Oryzias latipes: one gene and its partner. The protein of the gene in region 2 interacts with the protein of the main gene of each other region in a pairwise test. Links are inferred from orthologs where the notes say so. Each region holds a gene or a part of one and is shown on either strand. Other genes may lie near its edges.

Region 1 (10,313 bases), on a different chromosome or scaffold from region 2:
GAACATTGGCTGCACCCACCTTTTCCACGGTACTGTATTTAACATTACATTTTAGAAATAAATAAAAAAAACATTCCAAAAACAAAACAAACAACAACAACAAAATACAAATGAAGTGTTCCAGAAATCAAGCTAAAATGTTAAAAATGAAACGAAAGAAGAAGCCAGAAAATAATAGCATACTGCCGATTGGACGATGATGGTTAAGTTTTGACATTTGAGTTTTTTCTAATGTGTCTTTACTGTCTGCGTACTCATAAAAGGTTTTGTGATTCATGCAGAGCGTGTCCAGAGCATGTCATGTCTTAATCAAATGTTGTCTGACAGCAGCAGCTCTTTGGGTCAGCAGTAACATCCATGTTTTTGGTTTACGGCGCTTCGTGCCAAATAACTTTCTGTTAAAATGATGGATGAACATTATCATCCAATCAGTGATGTCCCATCATACCAGTAAACCTTCTCCGGTTTCTACGTTTGGTTTTTTAAACTTTCATTTTGATTTCTGAAAATGACTTTGGTTTTCTGAAACGTTTCCTTTTTCATTTCGTTTCTTTTATTTTTGGAATTTGGTTTGGATTTCCTAAATGTAATGTTGTGTCTCTATTATTTGTTTTTCATTTTTAATTGTCGCTGTGATCTTCTATATCTTTTTACATCGAGTGATTTGTTGACGTGCACACTTCAGGGCCACCGTAGTTAAACTATTTTTGCTTCCTTCAACTGCCGCCAGCACCGGGTGTCTGTGGACCGACTCAAACTCAAGATTCAGTCATATTTGAGCAAGTGTTACATCTGCACACAGACATCCAAGAATGTTTGCATCTGGGCCAATCAGAGCAGGGAGTCACGCCCATCACTCCCTCTGATTGGCTTAGAGACCATGAGAATGAACACAGTTCACCTGAATTTAGCTGATGTAAACACATTTTTAACTTTTTCTAACAGGAATTTCTGACTTCTGTGGGTGTGGAGGCACCACTGTTACATATTATAGAAGTGACAAAAGGATTTTCCAAACCACCCAAGCTGTTTATGATTTAGCATAACCCTTGTGCTATCCTAGGCACTTTACCATTGGGGGTTGGGTCATCTAGACCCACTAGACAGAGCTCTGAACCGTTTTTCTTCAATGATTTGTGATCTTCACTGGTGTCCATGGATTACATGAAATCTTTCCACCTTTATCCACCTTTGTCATGGTAGGGAGAACACGTCAATGGAAGGGGGGGGGGGGTCATCTAAGATAGCACAAGGGTTAATTGGTCTTTTTATTTGAATCTAAATCTGTTTTCTTCATTTATTGCTCCCAAAGTTCGAGTTCAAACTATCAGATTATTTTTCTATTTTCTCCTGTCCTTCCAAACTATGCTTTCAGTCAAAAATGATCTGAGACTTGATTTATTTAACTCATCATGTTTATGTGCAAACGTTAAAAAAGAAACGCCTTTTTTATACAACCTTTACAATTACAGACAGTCTGTAAAGTAAAGTCACCCTGTTGTCAATGAGGTGAAACATCTGCTTTGCATTTGACTTCCTCCTCCGGGAAATAAAGCCACAGCAGTAGGAATCACTTTACTACTTTGACTCCACAATTCATCCAGCGTATGATTTTTTTAGACTATCGTGTGTCTGAACTGTGGACTCAAACCGTCCCAGACTCAGGCAGACACTCTCCCACAGGGCCACTAAGCTGATTTCTATGAAAAGCTGTGTGAGATCTCCAGGCTCCTGTCAGAGTAAACAGCAGCGCTAAAGTGGCTGCTTGGATCAACAGCTGGCAAAACTCAGTGTGCAAACTAGTCTGACACCCTTTCAGTTTTTCCACAGATCCACCCAAAAGTGGCTCCAGGTTCCAGTCTTTGTCAGAAACCAAAGCCTTTTTCCACCTCAGAGCAGCCCCACCGGAGAGGCAGAGCGACACAGCTCCATGAGGGGCCGCTGTTGGTTGGTGATGCCGAGCAGCATAATGAGGAAATCCTCTAGGTTACCCGAGGACACCAACTTCCCGTGCAGTAAACACCATAATGGGTTTGTATGCAGTTCTGCAGATGAAGCTTTTTACAACTCTGTTAATAATGACTTCAAAAAAACAATCTTTTTCAATCTAGCTCCCACTTTGCCCAAAATGTTGGATCATTTGACTGAAACAGACTTCTAAAAGTCCCTGAAGCTTTTCCTGCAGACCTCGGATCCATTCTGGATTGCACTCAGCAGCACATTTATCCCATCAGCAGCTGATTCTCAGTATGAACCTCTGGTGACTATTGGGAGGCCTGATATGAAACAATGCAGTCTTGGGGTCGACATGTGACCAGTTGGCAAAGCAACCGTAATATTGAGTAAATAGGGCCAAGTGCTATTTCCAGAGTTTTATCTTCAGGCTGTCAGACATGCTTGACAAGACAGAAGAGTGCGGTGCATCAACAGACTTCTGCTGGAGTTTCGGGGGAAGAGAGTCTGCGGTTTGGTTACAGATACGAATTAACATGACCGGCATTGAAAACATTGGTCAATATGCAAAATTGGATTTTTTTTCATGTGTCCACTCCCCTTTCTTATCCCTTGTGCTATCTTAGATGACCCCCCCCCTTACATTGACGTGTTCTCCCTACCATGACAAAGGTGGATAAAGGTGGAAAGATTTCATGTAATCCATGGACACCAGTGAAGATCACAAATCATTGAAGAAAAAAGGTTCAGAGCACTGTCTAGTGGGTCTAGATGGTAAATGGTAAATGGCGTATACTTATATAGCGCTTTCTACCTTCTTACGAAGGCCCAAAGCGCTTTACAGTCACAGTCCCATTCACCCATGCACACACACATTCACACACATTCACCCACTGATGGCGGCTCCGCTGCCAAACACTGGCACCAACCTCCCACCAGAGGCAAGGTGGGGTTCAGTGTCTTGCCCAAGGACACTTCGACACATGGGCGTGCAAGGCGGGAATCGAACCTGCAATCTTATGTTCATGGGTCGACCGCCCTACTGTGCACCACGGCCGCCCCAGATGATGACCCAACTCCCAATATTAACGTGCCTAGGATAGCACAAGGGTTAAACTAAATGGCATCCATGTGAATGATTCTCCAAGGAAAGGGAAGTTTGAAGCTAAAAAGTGAAGTTTATACCAAACACTATGAATAAACGATGTTCATCCTCTTTAGTTTGTCCTCGGTACACCTGAGTCTGCTGCTGGAACTCAAGCTTCTCCACGCAGCTTCAAAAACGTCCTGTGCAGGCATTTGACCTCCACTCTCTGCACATAAAAAAGGCCCACAACATAAGGAAGGGAAAGAATAAAAAAGGCTCTGAGAGGGAATATCCATTGTTTCATGTGGCCAGATGATTAAGGCCAGCTGTGGTTGCAGCTGCAAGAGAGCCGTGGGTTTTCTCACATGTATGAGTCAAAGCATCCATGCACTCAGGATGTGTGCTGCTTGTCATATGTGTGTGGAGCTGTGTGACGGCGTGGCTGATTACACAGTGGATGACCGCAGAAGGGATTCCCTGTTCGGACTGGATTTAGCTCTTTCATACCAACCAGCTGCTTCCATCAACGGAAAAGACACGACTGCTCTACTTATAGACCCACTCTGATCTGTGCCATCTATCCAGCCGTGCAGTTTTGAGCCAAATATCAGCTCAAACCAGAAAAAACAAACCATTAATGGATCTGTTTACAAGTGGATGCATCAGAATGGAGCAAAGCGGGGAGCTTGTGGCACACCCAGCATATTTTCTATGCAACCAATGCGATCTTTTTCAGAGTTTTTTCTATGCTCCTGAATCACAACAATTTCAGTAAAGACACACTCAGAAATGGCGTTTTTGAGTTTCATTTTCTTTATATAAGTCCTCCATCATCAGAAAATTACCACAAGAACATGTTAAAAACAACAAAAACACCATTTTCAATGGAGTGGGTCTTAAACGTAGCACAGATTTAAGAATAGCTTAAACCTTTTCAGAAGTTATCATGGAAACTGGAATTCATTACACAAGTTTCTTGTTTACAGTCCATGACCATGTGATGAAAACTAACTTTGAGGGCGGTCAGTTGACTTGATCATAAAGCCTCAATCTGCCCTGACCGCAGGGAGAGTCTGACTCACCGTCACAACTGAGAGCAGGAGGATGCAGAGCGGTGAAGAAGAGACAGAAACAGGAAATCTTAAGCGCTTTGCCAAGTCTGTGCAGTGTAATAAGAAAGGATGTGTTGGTCATTATTGAATTCACTCACTTCTGCATTTAGTGCCCACTTTGTCTCATGCTAGTGACTGGGTGTTTCCAAGGGGCAACATTTGTACGTTACACTGCAGATAATGTTCCCGTGGAGTGAAATATCAGCTGAATCTGATAAAATCGAATCATTTTGTGGAGGAATTCCAGAAATAACATGAGAGGAAGAACTGTTTATGAGTTTGGCGGTTGGTTTAGCGATTCATACATGTCTTCAGATTTAAATCCTCTGGCTGGAATGCTGACAGGTGAAAGGGGGGAGATCAGAACACTGGGAGTGGTGAGGGATCCCCCTCTGACTAAGCAGCTACTTGGGTGTTTCCCTGTTTTAACAGCGCAGTTCAGGCATTTCAGAGGCCTGACCCATCCTTCTCATGCAGGGGGCTGTTTGACCCCGCTCTGATGTGAAAGCCCGCCTCAGCTGGAGTGGAGAGTGACAGACAGCTGACGCTCCCCTCCAGTATCATAGCGCCTCAGGTGGCTTCCAGCTCTCCCTCTCATAACCTCTGTGCGCATGTCCCTTATGGAAAGAATTCAGGGTTTCAAGGCAACCACTGTGGGAAACGTGAGTCCCAAAAACAGGAAATTCGTACTGTTTCCTTTGTTCCGATGGTCACGTTTTTAATCCGTGCGTGCAGATGGGCTGTGCAGCCTGCGCAAAGCACAACTCCATCTGCAAAGTTCCTTCCTAATAGGGGGAAAGAAAGTAAGAGGCCGCTCTGGAGAGGCAGCGCGCAGCAGCGTCTGAGCCCCGGGAGCGCACGATGACGCACAGGCGCAGAAAACACCAAACCAGATTTTAACACTTGGACAGTTTTTGATCACATTCTTGGACTTTAAAAGCAAAAAGTGGCCGAAATGTCTGTGACACAGGAGTCTCTCAACTGTTATTTTTTGTTGTCACAAAAAGTCTTGAAAGATTCTGCAGCTGCAACTTTAAAAGTAACTTGAAAAGTTCGAAATTAGCAGGTCTGACTCACCTTGACAACGTCGTCGTTTATTTGTTTAGGGTCCCGGTTGACTAGATCTATCTCTTTGGTGTGGACATCATCCATCGTCTTCTCGTTTACGCTGTCGTTGTCCATGTCTTTGTTGTTTGGCTTGTATATGTTCCCCTGCTTTCGGATGAAGGGCGACTGCAGAAACTCCTGTGGAGATCCGAGGGAGGCAAACAAGTGAGGAAGAGGAGGAGGTGGTGGAGGCGGAGTGGTGCGCAGCGCGCCGAGAGGGAGCGAGACTGCAGTGCAAGTCACCGGCCTGCCTCGAGAACAGGGATGGGTTTAAGCGCACTGAACACGCAGCACCACACCCCTGCACTCAGCCGCAAGGGGTCCTCACCACCCACACAGTGCTCCTGTCCTGACCTATCATACAGTTGGCTCCACATGGATGTGGACGCATGGCAACGCTTCAAAACATTTTCTGTGAAAAAGCAACAGTGTTTCATCTCACCATCCAAGCAGAATATCATCTACTAATCTTTTTTTTTTTTTTTTTTTTTTTTTACCAGAGGTGACATTTGTAAAATATGAATATTCATACATGCAAGTATATGTTGTAAAAGTGAATCCTCTCAAAGCTTTTATGATTTTGATCATTTGTGGAAAAATGAGGTTGAAAATCCAACTTTTAAACGCTTTTAAAGTCTCTTCCTGGATGAAGCAGAGCAATCTGACGCGTAAAGCTCAGGATTTGGTTGCGTTAATTGGCTTTTTCCTAAAGCGCAGCGCTTGCCACAGCAGGAAACTAAAAATACTAGAATAACTAGTTTAACAGAATAAAACAACAACAAGCAAATATCAAAAAGGGGAAATAATTTAATTTAAAAGGGGAGAGCCATACTGTACCTCGTCAGCGTCTCCGTCAGTGCGCTCCCCTGTCATTCTGTCCTCAGGAGCAAATGGGGTCCTCCGTCCAAACACAGATCACTCTGGGAAGCGAAGTGGGAGGCGTGAGCGCGGACTACCGCGCGCCTGATGATGAAATCAACCCTGAGCTGCCTTGGCGCCGAGTGAGACAAAACTGCGGAAAGTCTGAGCGCGCAGGGGAAAGCTCCGCTGCGTCTGCACAGCCACCTGCGTGTGCGCGCTCGGCACAACAGCCGCTTGGGCTGCAGAGAAGGACGTGATCTCACACCAAAGGGCTGCTGTGACACGCACGGAAAAAACCCTGCTTCGTTCAGGAATGAAGGCAGAATAAGACGGCACTTGTTCAGAGGGAGGAGGGTGAGATGGGATTACTGAATGTCGAAGTGGGAAAACCTGCCATACCTGAGTCCCAAACCGATCGATTGTTCCAAGAGAAAAGAAAACAAACAAGCAAACAGATCAAGAGGGGGAAAATGCAGAATTAGTAATAACATTTGAGAGCAGGTGTCAATGCTTTTCCTTTTCTTGTCAGCTTCAAGTAAAGCACCCGGCATCCCTGATAGTTTCCTCTCACCTCTTCTTGGCAGCAGCTCACTCATCAGTGGAACAGAAGCAATGTATGGATTTTATGGAATGGTCTTTTTCTTCTACGTGTTACCCTTTTTTGATAGGCTTCTTGTGCACAATAATTAGTCAGGGTGAAATGCGGAGCACTTATTTCATTACAAGTAGCTGTAGTGTACCTTTAAGATGATCTTTTCTGTTTCTAAAAAAATATGTTATCTTCTGTAAGCAGACTGATATCTGCATAATTATTGATACCTGTGGCAGAATTTGGCTTGGGGCCTTACTGCTGGGTTGTTCTGTGTGACTGGGATTCCTTTGCTCCACCCCTAAACTCTACTGTCAGTGCCCATGAGGGTAACAGCCGCAGCAGGTCTACTCCTTTAATGTGCTATCCTAGGTACGTTACCATTGGGATTTGGGTCATCTAGACCCACTAGACAGTGCTCTGAACCTTTTTTCTTCAATGATTTGTGATCTTCACTGGTGTCCATGGATTACATGAAATCTTTCCACCTTTATCCACCTTTGTCATGGTAGGGAGAACAGGTCAATGTAAGGGTGGGGTCATCTAAGATAGCACAAGGGTTAATTTGCCCTGATACCTGTAACAATGCTACAGTCTCACTATGGAGTGGAACTTAGAGACCAACTCCAATAAACAGTGTATTTTTTGGTGTTGTTTTGTGGCATTTTTCTGATGATGGAGGACAAATAAAACTAATATTGAAATTGCATCACTGAGTATTTCTTAATTCAAATAACTGTGAATAAGGGACACAGAATAAAAATTGCAGTTTAAAAAAAGAGCATATTTGTTACATAGAAAATACGTTGGGCGGGCCACAAACATGCTCTGCTCCATTCTGATGCATCCAATTGTACCCATTCCAACCCTTTGAGCCTGTAGACGTACGTCTTTGTTTTCCTGGTCTGAGCTGGAGTCTGGATCTAAACTGTATGAATGGATAGCTCCAGTATTGCTCACCATTTTTGTTGCATCGATGATGTTAGGTCGGGGGTGTCATGGATGGATGACGGGAAATTAGGCAGAAATGCGCCACACCAACAGTCCAGCCCACAGCTCAGAGTTGAATTTTTAATGAACTTATGCCGCTCTGTAGAAACTTATGGAAGTGATTCTGTAGAATAATTAAAAATAAAAGTCAGAACCAGAAATGCTTTTTCATTTTCAAAATGAAGCTGCATTTTTGACTCAAAATGAAAATAAAAAAGCAATCCACCAAAATGTTTTTTCTTTCCATCTTCAACACAACTTATTCTGTGTCAGAATAAAAACGAAAATGCAAAGAGGGGATTGCATTTTCATTTTAGCATCCACCCTGCAAACATTGTCGCATTATTCATTTCGAAAGAGCATTTCCAGAGGGGAGACGGGGCGATGACATCAGTGCTAAATCCGTGTGTCCGGCTGCTAACAGACACATGCTAGGAGCAGTGGAGCTCATTTAGAAGATAGTCTCCTGCAGCTTCACGCTGATTTTGCTGTTCAATGACAGCTGGAGTCCCATCAACAGCTATAGCAGATTTCACCATGCTAAACGTTTGCTGGTTGGACCAACACACACTCAGCTTCACGCTGAGTGTGTGTTGGTCCAACCATCTATCTTCTAAATGTGCTTTTATTGTTATGATTATTATTAAGGGCCTGCTCACTCAATTTTTTTAAATCCGTTCGGTCAGTGCTTTTTTCTTCGCTGGAGGACCCGAAAGACGAGTTAGCATTAGGCTAATATGTGCTTTAAACATTAGCCGTGGAGGTACTTAAAACTCCTTGCGGGCAATGAGCATATTGGATGTAAATATGTGGGAATTACATCATCCTTTATTTTTTTCTGGACACCACTGGAAACACATATTCATATGATGGTTTCTCAGATCATATCAGCACTTCTGCCTTCGGTGAACGGGAGATCGGATAGCGGGGTTTCGCGCTCCGCTATGCGAAGGCAGCTGCTGGTCCGAGGGGGGGGGTGCAGGGAAATGCTGCTACGTAGTCCTGAGAAGCTGTCTACAATCATCAGGAGTTCACAACCATCACACAGCCCTCTCCTCTGCCGCTAACACAAAGCTCCACTGCTCCTAGCATGTGTCTGTTAGCAGCCGCACACACAGAGAACACACTGACGTCATCGCCCCGCCTCCCCACTGGAAATGCTTATTCGAAATGAATATTGCGACACTATTCACAGGGTGGATGTTAAAATGAAAATGCAATCCCCTCTTTGCATTTTCATTTTAATTATGACACAGAATAAGCGGTTTTAAGTAGAAAATGAAAAAGTATTTTGAAGTATTAAATTTTCATTTTAATTTTGAGTCTTTTGTTTCAGTTACATTTTGAAAATGAAAAAGCATTTCTATTAAACCCATTTTAATTGTCAAATTAGACAATTCTAAATGAATTTTGCTACAACAGATAACTTTTTGAAAATGAAATGTCAAATACCACGTCATTTTAATTACAGGTAAGTGACAGAATAAGCGGTGTTAAAGAAGAAAATGAAAAAAACATTTTGGCGGATTGCGTTTTCATTTTAATTTTGAGTCAAAAAATGCAGCTTTATTTTGAAAATGAAAAAGTATTTCTGGTTTTGACTTTTATTTTTAATTATGCTACAGAATCGCTTCCATAGAAACTATGTCCTGGAAAACAACACAGGATTTTTGATTTTTGTCTAGAAACAGTGAAAATCATTGTAAAATATACATTACACACCGGTTTACTTCATGTCTGGACTTTAATAGGTGAAGTTATGAACACAGATCATAAAACCTGTTTCATAGAAAGATTAATCATACTTTATGTAGACCTCAGCAGTTCTGCGATAAACACAAGACATTCTACAATTTAAAAACAAATTCCTCGGGGGGGTACAACTGCAGAAAGGGAGTTGTGGCATGGTGACAAATTTGATCTGTGGGAACGTTCAGGCTCTCAGGATCTTCAGAGATATTAAAATGTCATTCAGAAACTGACAGGACGGGTTCTTCAACCATCTCACCTCATGTGCTCCTAGTGAAAGCTTTGACAATCCAAGAAACATCCAGAAAAACGTGGCGGAGCTCCTCTTTTAAAGGGCCTTTTTTATTTTGACATGTTTTCAGAATCCTTCCGGATGATAGTAAAAAACGATAATTTCTGTAAGTAAAGTTAAATTCCCATTGGCTGTCACGGACCTAGGGATGTAAAATTTGTTCTCCCATCCTTTCGAGGGGGGTGAGCTGCAGATACAACCACATTCAGGAAACATTTGTTGGTAACCCATTCCAACCCTTTGAGCCTAAGTGCAAAACACAGAGGCATTGGGACCAATTTTTAGAGTCCTTGGTATAACTTGGTCTGGATTTGAACCCATGACCTTCCAGTCTCAGGATGGACACTGTACCACAAAGCCATTGAACTCTATAAAAGTTAGCAGAGCACAGCAGCTGATTGCATTAATATGCAAGAATTTATTGGTAAAGAGAAATGGTGTGTTAACCTCTAGTAAAAGCAGTTAGGAACTGAAACCAGCAGTAAGCTGAAAGTGGCTCTCACCCTGCAATTTACAGGGAACATGAGGTCTTTAGCTGGGAATGTGGTTTGGCTTTGTCCTCCTGAAAGGTCT
Region 2 (10,096 bases):
AAATTGAAAAGGTGTTAACATACCTAGCATTTGGACTTGTTCGTCGGTGGTATGACAAAATGCTGCTTTAGAAATATTCAGTGCTTTGGAAATGACCTGTTCTTGCAAAGGCAGCTGCCACACTCGCTTTTATTGAGTGCAAAGACAGATAAAGTGAAGGATTCCTGAGACTCAAAGAAAAACCTTTAAAGACGAACTACTTGTTGGATCGCTAGAAACATAAAAATGTGATCGTTTTTAGCTCTGCAAAATTACTCGAATGGAACTTCCAACAGATGTGAATGGATCAGAAGCCAAAAAAATGAAAGGAGTTTAGAGAGGAGAAGATTAATTTGAATAGTCCTGGAAATAAACATAAAAAAAACAAAAGGTGAACAACACGTGTTTACAACATGTATTCAAATGTTGTAAACAACCTCCATCCATGCAGCCATTTCCAGAAATCCCTTTTGGGGCCATGGAGCTGCAAGAGTCAACCCAGCTATTATTGAGCAAAGGTGGGGCACACCCGGAACAGGTCCCCAGTTCATTTCAAGGCCACACCTGCATGCTCACTTAGAGGCAATTTAGAGCAATCAACCTGTGAAGCCTGTTTTTGGATTGTGGGAGAAAGTGGGAGTGACCAGAGAAACCTGAAAACAACCTTTAAATCATAACTGATTTTTCAAACCAGACCTAGAGATATTCAAACAGATGAAAGCATGTGCCAAGTCTTGTTTGACTGGAAAAAAGAAAGTAAAATTTACATGTGTTGCCATGAATCTCAGCGCTAAAACAGTCCCTGGAGCTGATATGAACGTTGGATTAAAAACCAGATGAAAGATCTCAGAACACTGATGCATGCAATGAATCCCAAAACTCTTACAAAAATAGGAGGCCAGATGCCCAACGCGCTAAGAAATCTGAAACGTATAAGACATATAATCATCCATTCATTTTACCAGTACAACATTAATGGGGACACTTTTTCGAGGCAGTTTATATTTAAATCAAAGTCCTGCTCGAAAAACAAACTGCTATTTTCAATTTTTGTATTAATTTTAATTTTGGCTGTAAATGTCTTCACAACAGTAGAAATGTTGTGCAATATTTCAAATTATTTTCAAAGTCTTGTCAAAACGTGACATTCAGCTGATCTTTTTTTTCCTGGAAAGAAAACAATGGTCACATCCAGAGCTCAACAATTGAAACAAGATCTTATTACAACACTGTCCTCTAAGGCTGGAGTACATGAACCAAAGCTTGACGTTTACTTTGCTTGGCTGCATTGTAAAAACTGAAAGTTACCTATTTTAAATAATTTACACCTATTCCACAGGATGCTGGCAACTCTTTTGCTTTCACGGCTGTTATATCTAGCTAGAAACAGATTGCAATTCAGTGCAAAATAAAGTCTTCATGAATGCTTGGTTGAAATTATTTTCCTTATCCTGTGTATGAGGCAGTGGAAGGGGGAGAAGGAGTCCTTGTTTTCAATAGGCGATGGAGAAATAAAATACCAATATGAACAAAGTCATAGAATACCATGTTAAAAAAAGGAAGGTGCATTGTTAATGATGTTTATGATTGATCTTGGTAACATAATTTACAATACATCCACAAATGTTCCAAAGATTTTTGATTTAGCATTTCTGAATGTTTTCTTTCACTCTCTCTCATGCCACTTAACTATTCGGGGGCAAAGCAGGGTTGTGTGAACAGGGACATGCTAACTTGTACACTAACAAAACCAAGAACTGAACCTCCAACCTCGTGCTCAAGCTGAAAAATCATTTAGCAAAAGCATGACCAAAAAGAAAACAAATGGCTGCAATTATTCCATATAGAGAGAGAAAACCTGAATTTCATCTATGAAGGCAACTCAGGAAATTTGCCTGGTGCATCATGGGATGCCTAAGAGAAGTTTAAACTTGTAGTGCTGAAACTAAAGGTCAGTTGAGAAAAAGCCTAGCCTGTCTGAATAAAATAAAAATATAAAAAAGATAGATTTATTAGAAACCAAATACAAACTCAGCTTCAGATATTTTGGATTCAGAGAAACTGATATGGATATGCATTTCATGTAGCGTGTCAAATGTCTCACTGAGGCTCAGGCGTGGCAGCATATGTTTATGAGCGAACATTGGCTGGTGCTGACTGCCTGCCTTCACAGCTCCACCTGTGTGCCAGTACAAAGGGCGTGACCACAGGCTCAGGCACGCGCTCTCCCTGTGGGAAGTGGTTGAAAGTAGAAAGCTGCAGGAGTCAAGCCAACATTTTCTTTTACAGAATTTGCTGCAATATTTTCCTGGATTTTAAAGAAATCTGTTTAATGTCACTTTGAGATGAACTTTAAAGTATATCCTCTTTGCAAACAAAATATAATGTTTGTCTTTATTTTCAGACCATATGTGGTGGCAGGCTGAAATGTCAGGCTGTATGTTGCCACAGACCGCCCATTTAACAAGCCCAAGGAGCACTCACCCAATGCTCATTTAATTTAATCTTGAGGAAGCAAATGTCCACATACAGTAAATAGTGTAATTCCTCACAATAATCTCTCTTTCGTCATTTCCTCCGGTCTGTGCTTTGTTCCTTCCACTTGTTGATGGAGTGTGTGACTGTCTGTATGCAGATAAAAATACTGTATTTGCAAGGTAAGCTTCTTCTACTAATAGGGACAGACAAAATGTGCTCATTTAAAGTCTTTAATGTACTTCTAATTTTATGTTGCAACAGCAGATTTGGTTCTTTTATTATAACCTAAATACTTTTATTCTTTTACCTCAGTTTAGACCAAGATAATGTCCAGGAATTCAACTTTTAGGCTTCAAAACAAATTATTATATCATGTCTTATCTTGTCTTTTTTGAGTCCTTATTGTTTCAGAAAACAACCTTTAAACAAACTTTATTTGCTTTACTCCAATTTCAAAAACTGCTTGTCCAGATTTATCTTTTTGTTCTTTGTTGTCAAGATTTAGATTATTTTGTTGTTGTTGGCAGTTTTCAGTTCTTATGAGCAAATAAGCAGACAAAAAATAAATGTATTTTTTCATTTGTCACTTTCTGCATCAATATTCCTTTGTGCTGTTGCCCAAAAAGCATCGCATACTGGATGTGCACTTTGTAAAGCTAACAAAACAAAACCAAATGTCGGTGAAATATTAAATAGAATATTGTATGTCTGCATTAAACATGGGTTTATATTTATACTTATTTATTTTTAAATGTTGTTTGTGCTCTTCTTTTTATTAAAACTATGAGCAACATAATTCAAGTCTGCAAGAATTACTTTCTCTTTCCACATTAAACTACACGATTAGCCTTTCCATGAAAGTAAGGGGTTTTGTCAGTCACTACATGTCCTAATTTTGCTTCAAATTAGTTTTTTAGGTAAAACAAAAATACAGAAATATCATAATCCATATCACACTGCACATGATCAAGCTAAGAGAAAACTAAAGGAAAATGCAATGAAATTAAAGGAAATTGCTGTGATCAGAAACCAGGAGACAGTTGATGCTCCGTTGAAGCACTGCTGACATATATCTTTTCTGCCTTAAAATGTGTAATAAGGTTTTGGGTTGTGTAGTATCGCGCGTCTGCCTGCAGATAGGTAATTTCTCTCGTGTCTTTTACGATGATGAATGACTTCATTTCGTTGTGATGAGTGCGTTCCTTTGTCTCCCCACGACCTGCCTGATCTCTGAGCTTATTAACTGTCTGTTGCTTTGGGTTTCAGCTCAGATGCTTCCTTTTTGTATTAAAGAAATGATGAAGCGGCATCATGCGCGTCGTGATGAATGGTGAATCGTGCGTATTTACGCGCGCGCCGGCGTGTATATGTGTGCAGGTCTAGACTTATTAGTGAAATACGCTCTCAGCGTGGAATGACCTTGTTGAAAAAGGAGACTTTTTTGACTGTGCCTGCAGCGCGTGACTGCGTGCGTGCGTTTGTTTACACGCTTCCTGTGTGTGCGTGTCTTTTCTGCGTGTGTCACCTAAACGTGGGGAGCGACAGAGGGGGGCGGGCACGCCCAAAAGATGGTGTTGAATCACGCCCGTCTGTTGCTTTTTCTGTGTATCGGTGCGCCCCACGATTGGCGGACAACAGTGGAGGTAGCCAGCACTGGTGCGCCGTGGGCGTGTGGAACGTCTGTTTATAAACCTAGATCTTTTATCAGTGGGCGGGAACAGCAACAGCATTGAGGGAAAGTGGGGCGCTTGAAAAAGAGAAACGTAAAAAGGAGACGAGGCTGTGGCGGCGGCTGAGGTTGACAGGGGCTCGCGGAGGGGGCGCGGCGGCAGCCCCTGTATGCGTCTTCCACCGCGCATGGACGACCACCTCAGCCTCCTGCAATCACCCCCGCCGAGCGTCACCAAAACCAGGGGAGACAACTTGGTGAACCACGGATACACCGAGACAGAGACCGACGTGATGACGGTCGTGGCATGTGACAACATGCTGGAAGAGTCGGCGGCTCTCCCGGGCCACCACTCTCTGGACAGATACGAACCGGATCACGAATGCTGCGAGAGGGTGGTCATCAACATCTCAGGGTTACGTTTCGAGACGCAGCTCAAGACTCTGTCACAGTTCCCAGAGACGCTGCTGGGTGACCCAAAGAAAAGGATGAGGTACTTTGACCCTCTCAGGAACGAATACTTCTTCGACAGGAACCGACCCAGCTTTGATGCCATTCTGTATTACTACCAATCCGGCGGGCGGATCCGGAGACCAGTTAATGTGCCCATTGACATTTTTTCTGAGGAGATACGCTTCTATGAGTTGGGTGAGGAGGCGATGGAGAAGTTCAGGGAGGATGAGGGCTTCATAAAAGAGGAGGAGCGGCCACTACCAGAGAATGAATTTCAGCGGCAGGTGTGGCTGCTGTTTGAATACCCGGAGAGCTCGGGTCCTGCCCGGGGGGTCGCAATAGTGTCTGTTTTGGTCATTCTCATCTCCATTGTCATCTTCTGCTTAGAGACACTGCCGGAGTTCAGGGACGAGAACAATGATGTGATCACTCTAGCGCCGGTGATAAATGGCACAGTACCATATTTCATCAGCCCCTTCTCTGATCCCTTCTTTGTCGTGGAGACGCTGTGCATCATCTGGTTTTCCTTTGAGCTCCTGGTGCGCTTTTTTGCTTGTCCGAGCAAAGCCACGTTTTCCAAAAACATTATGAACATCATTGACATTGTGGCCATCGTCCCGTATTTCATCACCCTGGGCACAGAGTTAGCAGAGAGGCAAGGGAACGGACAACAGGCCATGTCTTTGGCAATTCTGCGCGTAATTAGGCTTGTTCGGGTGTTTCGCATCTTCAAACTTTCGCGTCACTCCAAGGGGCTTCAAATTCTGGGGCAGACCCTGAAGGCCAGCATGCGCGAACTGGGCCTGCTCATCTTTTTCTTGTTCATAGGGGTCATTCTCTTTTCCAGCGCTGTTTACTTTGCCGAGGCGGACGACCCGTCCTCGGGTTTTAGCAGCATCCCGGACGCGTTCTGGTGGGCTGTTGTTACGATGACCACCGTGGGATATGGGGATATGCACCCCGTGACAATCGGTGGAAAGATTGTGGGATCTTTGTGCGCAATCGCGGGCGTGCTGACCATTGCCCTCCCAGTCCCTGTCATCGTCTCCAATTTTAACTACTTCTACCACAGAGAAACAGAGGGCGAGGAGCAAGCGCAATACCTGCACGTGGGCAGCTGTCAACCTCTGGCAGACACAGAGGAGCTGAGGAAGACGCGCTCCTCCTCCTCCCTCAGCAAGAGCGAGTACATGGTGATAGAGGAGCACGGGATAAACAGCGCGTTTAAGCAGCAGCCGAATTTTCCCACTACAACTCAAAACAACTCACAGAATTGCGTAAACATAAGCAAAAAGATTTTCACCGACGTGTAGCGTTTCAGTTCTGACCAACAGGTGAGGCATCAACATACAGCTGGCTCTGGCGGTGCACACCAGCGTGTGGAAGCACAGATGGAAGATACGAGGAATGGAATAGTATTGCTGCTTAGTTTGTGCTCTGTTTAAAGAATCCGGATAGTTCACTTTAGTGATATAAATTCATCCCTTAAGGTTCCGTTTGCGCTTGCGTAAAGACAGAGATAGAATGAGTTCTTCTCTGAGGGGCTGATCCTGTTGTGCGTTTCCAGTAGCAAGTGTATAATCACAACAGGTAGAAATAGAAGCTTTTTTACTGTGAAGGGTGCGTAAAACTGCGTGTTCCTTGAAGGACACTTACACTGTTTCATGCGTTATGCGTCGTGATCAGTCATGCTTAGACAATGTATAATAACCAGTCATTTAAATATGTGTCTGTGTTCAAACACACGTATGTCTGAAAAAAAAAACGGTTCGAAGATATAAAATGTCAACCAGACCGTTCCGTGTTATGCCTTCATTATGCGTCCTTGAAAAATAACTCCAAATATTTCCTCTGCGTAGGTTATATTGTTAGGCTAACCAGTGCGTAAACGGCGCTTTGTAAACACCGGATCCAGCCAATTGTCAGCATCTCCTTATCTGTGCAAGAAACACGTGAGCGCAGAAGCACAAAGCTGCCTCCGTACGCACACAAACAATGATCAAAGATGGAGAGTGATTCTCTTTGGATGCCTCAAATATAGCTCTCTGTGATGCAGTCACTATGGTGACGGTCGTTTCCTGGGTAACCCCAGTCACCGTTGCCATGGCACCCTTGTTTCCACAGTAACCTCCCAGATGGCTTGGAATTTATACAGACGATTCTCATGTGAATGGCGTGACTTCACTCTCTAATGAGGCAGTTTTATCACCAAGCTGCTCTGCGTAAAGCACCAATCCAGATGTACGGAGCAACCAGCCTCTTTGACACCAACACAAAACGAAATTCTACAGAGGAGATTTGTTTACACCCCCCCCCCCCCCCCAATCACCCCCTCTAAACAAATCTATTTCAAGCTGGGGAGCTGCTGTGCCTGAAAACATGAAAGGAGGAGCGGCGCGTGAAAATATGAATGAAGTGGGAGCACTACCGCAAACGCACAGCAAAGGGTGCTGTTCCCTTACTGAAAAAAATAGGTAAGACGCACATTTATGCTGAGCACAAGTGCACTGTTCTCTGAAACAATAAGACCTCATATGGAATTTCAAAATAGGGTTATGTGTCATCAGAAAGGCTGCTACACAAAGAGCCCTCACACTGTCATGGCAAAAAATATAAATACTTTCTTTTTCAAAGTAAAAAAAAAAGTAGTATTTGAGTCCCCACTTGCATGTTTACATGTGAAAAATTATTTTATGATAAAACTCCTGCTCTCTGGTAAATGACGACATGCTCTTGCTGCACATTCAGGTCGCATTTAACCTTCAGCTGACTTTGTCGATGGACTAAAATAGGAGCAGCAAAGGCATGCCACGTTAGCTCGTCTCAACACTGCCTCCTAGTGTCTATTTTCTTGTTACAGGCGTCTCACACATTGATGTCCTCCGTTTTCCTCAGCCACACACAGTGATTCAATCACCTTGAGACAGCACATATGAGTGTGGAATGAAAACACTGATAAAGCTTTGTTCATGTTTTATGTGTAAATATTTGCATAAGCTAAAAGCACATTAATATTTAAAAAATGTTAAAACAGTAAATGCCAGTTATGGCATTTGGTGGGGCCGGCTCTGGCAGACCCGTGACCCCGAAAGGGACAAACGGAAGAAGATGAAAACAGTAAATGGCCTTCCTGATTTATAGTCTTTGACAGTGCTCTACTCTATTTATGTGGATGATTCTTCTTTTCTAATAGTTACGGACTTAACAGACAGGACAGCACAATTTTCTTCCTTTTTCTGCAGAATCCATTTCTGCTTTGAATTGGAATGTGTTTTCCTAAAAGTGCCTCTGAGTGTCTGTCAGCTCCAAAATAATGACAAAGTTGGCAGTCAGTGTTGATTGATGTTGGACAATTTCACTGGAATATTGTGATTTGAAGAGCCCACAGGATGACTTCCCAATTATTCAGTTCCATCCCAGCTGATCCCAGACATCAGCCTCTTGTTTTGAAGCTAAAGCCTTTTTTTGTTTGTTTTTGGGCAGATAAACTTTCTTTTTGATTTTTTGTATCACTCCAGATGAATTGTTTATGGTAATAAAAATTATATCTATTTAGTTCAACAGTAAACATTGTTGCTCAAGGCTGCAGGAAGTGAATACAATAATCCATTTTATTTGGAAAAATAATAGAAAAGAAAGAAACAAATCAAGTTCAATAAATTCAGAGGTGTCTGTGTGGGGGGGCTTTTTTCTTTTTTTTGGGGTCAAAAATGTGTCCTTTTCCACAACGATCTGAAAACTGTATTTATGGTCTCTCATATCCTATTTATTGAAGTTGTGTTTCTTCTCATAGGGTGACAACTGTAGAAACCACTAACCTGCAGTAGCTTTTCTTTCCCTACAGGTGTGCAGTGATTCTGGTCTTCCGGATGGGATAGATGGGTCACATTTGGGATCTGAGACAGAAATCCTTCTGGATCGGTTCTTCTTTCCCTGTACTCAACTGATGCCTAAATCAAGACTTAAAAAGTGGTGCCTATATCTCCTTCTCTAGCGGGACTACCAATCAATCCAAAAATGCAAGAAAATGAGGTCACAATAGGCTTCTGACATTTTTTCCACACACCTTTGTAGCCGCAGCTTCTATTGTTAAGCTGACACAATCTGAATGGGGGAGTCACGGGATCAAAAGTGACTTAAAAACTCGTGCTTAAGCTGTTACTGGCTTTCTAGGAAACAGCAAGTGCTTTCTCACATCACAGGGACTTTGACAATGATTTCTAGAATCTGTCTTCATCATATTGTCTTCATCGTCATCAAAAAGTCAGCAAGAGGAAAAACCTATGTGCTCTGTGATTAACTGATATGAAACTGTGATTCAAAACAAAGACTGTTAGCCACATGCCTTTGTTAGTTCTTTGTGCTCCGTGTTGTTGATATGTAAAACGCACACATAGCCACGTGTGCTAGTTGCTGCTATTCCCTTGACTTATACTTTAAGAACAATACAAAGGCACGTGCAAACAGGCATATTTATACACACACATTTGTGAATTTCTCTCTTCTGTTCCAGACTGCACTCTTGATTTTTGGAACGGGGCAGATTGTTGTCAGGGTAAGGCTGTGTATGCCAGTATTTGTTCCGTGTTATTACATGCCATCTTAAACATGACCCATGTGAAGAGATTGTGATGCGTCTTCATTTGACAGTAGCTGCAGTCTATTACTCAATTACTGAAAGAACAATATACTCATTTAGTGTCAGCCTAACTAGCTTCTCTCAGTTTTCAACAGTGAGTAGTATCTACACTTCTTCAAATATGACTAAATAGAGTTTTTTTATTAATAATTATAAAGTTTTTCTAAATTTCAACTCCAATCATCTTTTGATGTATTGTTAAAGCGTTCCCATTGGCCTGTTTATGCCGTTTTTGGGCAAAATGAAAAAGCCTGTGTTGTCTTCTCTGACTAGTTTCTGCAGAGCGGTAGCAGTTCATTCTGAATTCACCTCTGGGTTGTGGATGGGACTGTTGGCATGGATCGAGCCCACCCCCCATTCCCTCCATCCATCTCTTTGCGTACTCTCCTGCTGCAGCCTCTCACAACCTCAACCTAACAAAACAGGTGCAACAAAAAAGACGAGCAATATTGGAGGTATCCAGTCAGCTCGGACAAGGAAAACAAAGGCTTTCATGGATCTAGTCGTCTACAAGTGGATGCATCTGAATGGAGCAGAGCAGGGAGCTTGTGGTTTCCCGTAGAAACTTGTACGTCACACTTATACGTTTTTCCAACAGTATTTTTTTGTCTGCTCCTGATTCACAAAGATTTAAAGAAATGCTCAGAAATGCAATTTTAAGATTGGTTTTCTTTATAAATGTTGTCCACCCTCAGAAAAATGAAAATCTTATAAACACCAAAAACACAATTTTTATTGGAATGGGTCTTTTTATGTTTTTTGTACAATATAAGACATTTAAATTCAAAGCTAGCATTTACAGAGAAGAACACAATTAGACAACATTAGATAAAAAACTTGTCTTTGTTTGAAAATGAGTATTTAATTCCTAATCACTC

Evidence for each region.
Region 1: the proteins of potassium voltage-gated channel subfamily A member 3-like (region 2) and caveolin-1 come close enough for resonance energy transfer, tested with the Homo sapiens proteins (2 studies listed by BioGRID). The link is inferred for Oryzias latipes from reciprocal best matches to the Homo sapiens genes KCNA3 and CAV1.

The regions. Positions count from the first base shown.
Region 1 is NC_019864.2:2,995,207-3,005,519, reverse strand, and holds the start of caveolin-1, read right to left. Parts: upstream 6,361-10,313; 5' UTR 6,133-6,360; coding exon 6,097-6,132; intron 5,398-6,096; coding exon 5,230-5,397; intron 1-5,229. UniProt on the Homo sapiens protein: May act as a scaffolding protein within caveolar membranes. Forms a stable heterooligomeric complex with CAV2 that targets to lipid rafts and drives caveolae formation. Mediates the recruitment of CAVIN proteins (CAVIN1/2/3/4) to the caveolae.
Region 2 is NC_019865.2:13,592,691-13,602,786, reverse strand, and holds potassium voltage-gated channel subfamily A member 3-like, read left to right. Parts: upstream 1-3,867; 5' UTR 3,868-4,296; coding exon 4,297-5,892; 3' UTR 5,893-7,053; intron 7,054-8,406; 3' UTR 8,407-9,206; downstream 9,207-10,096.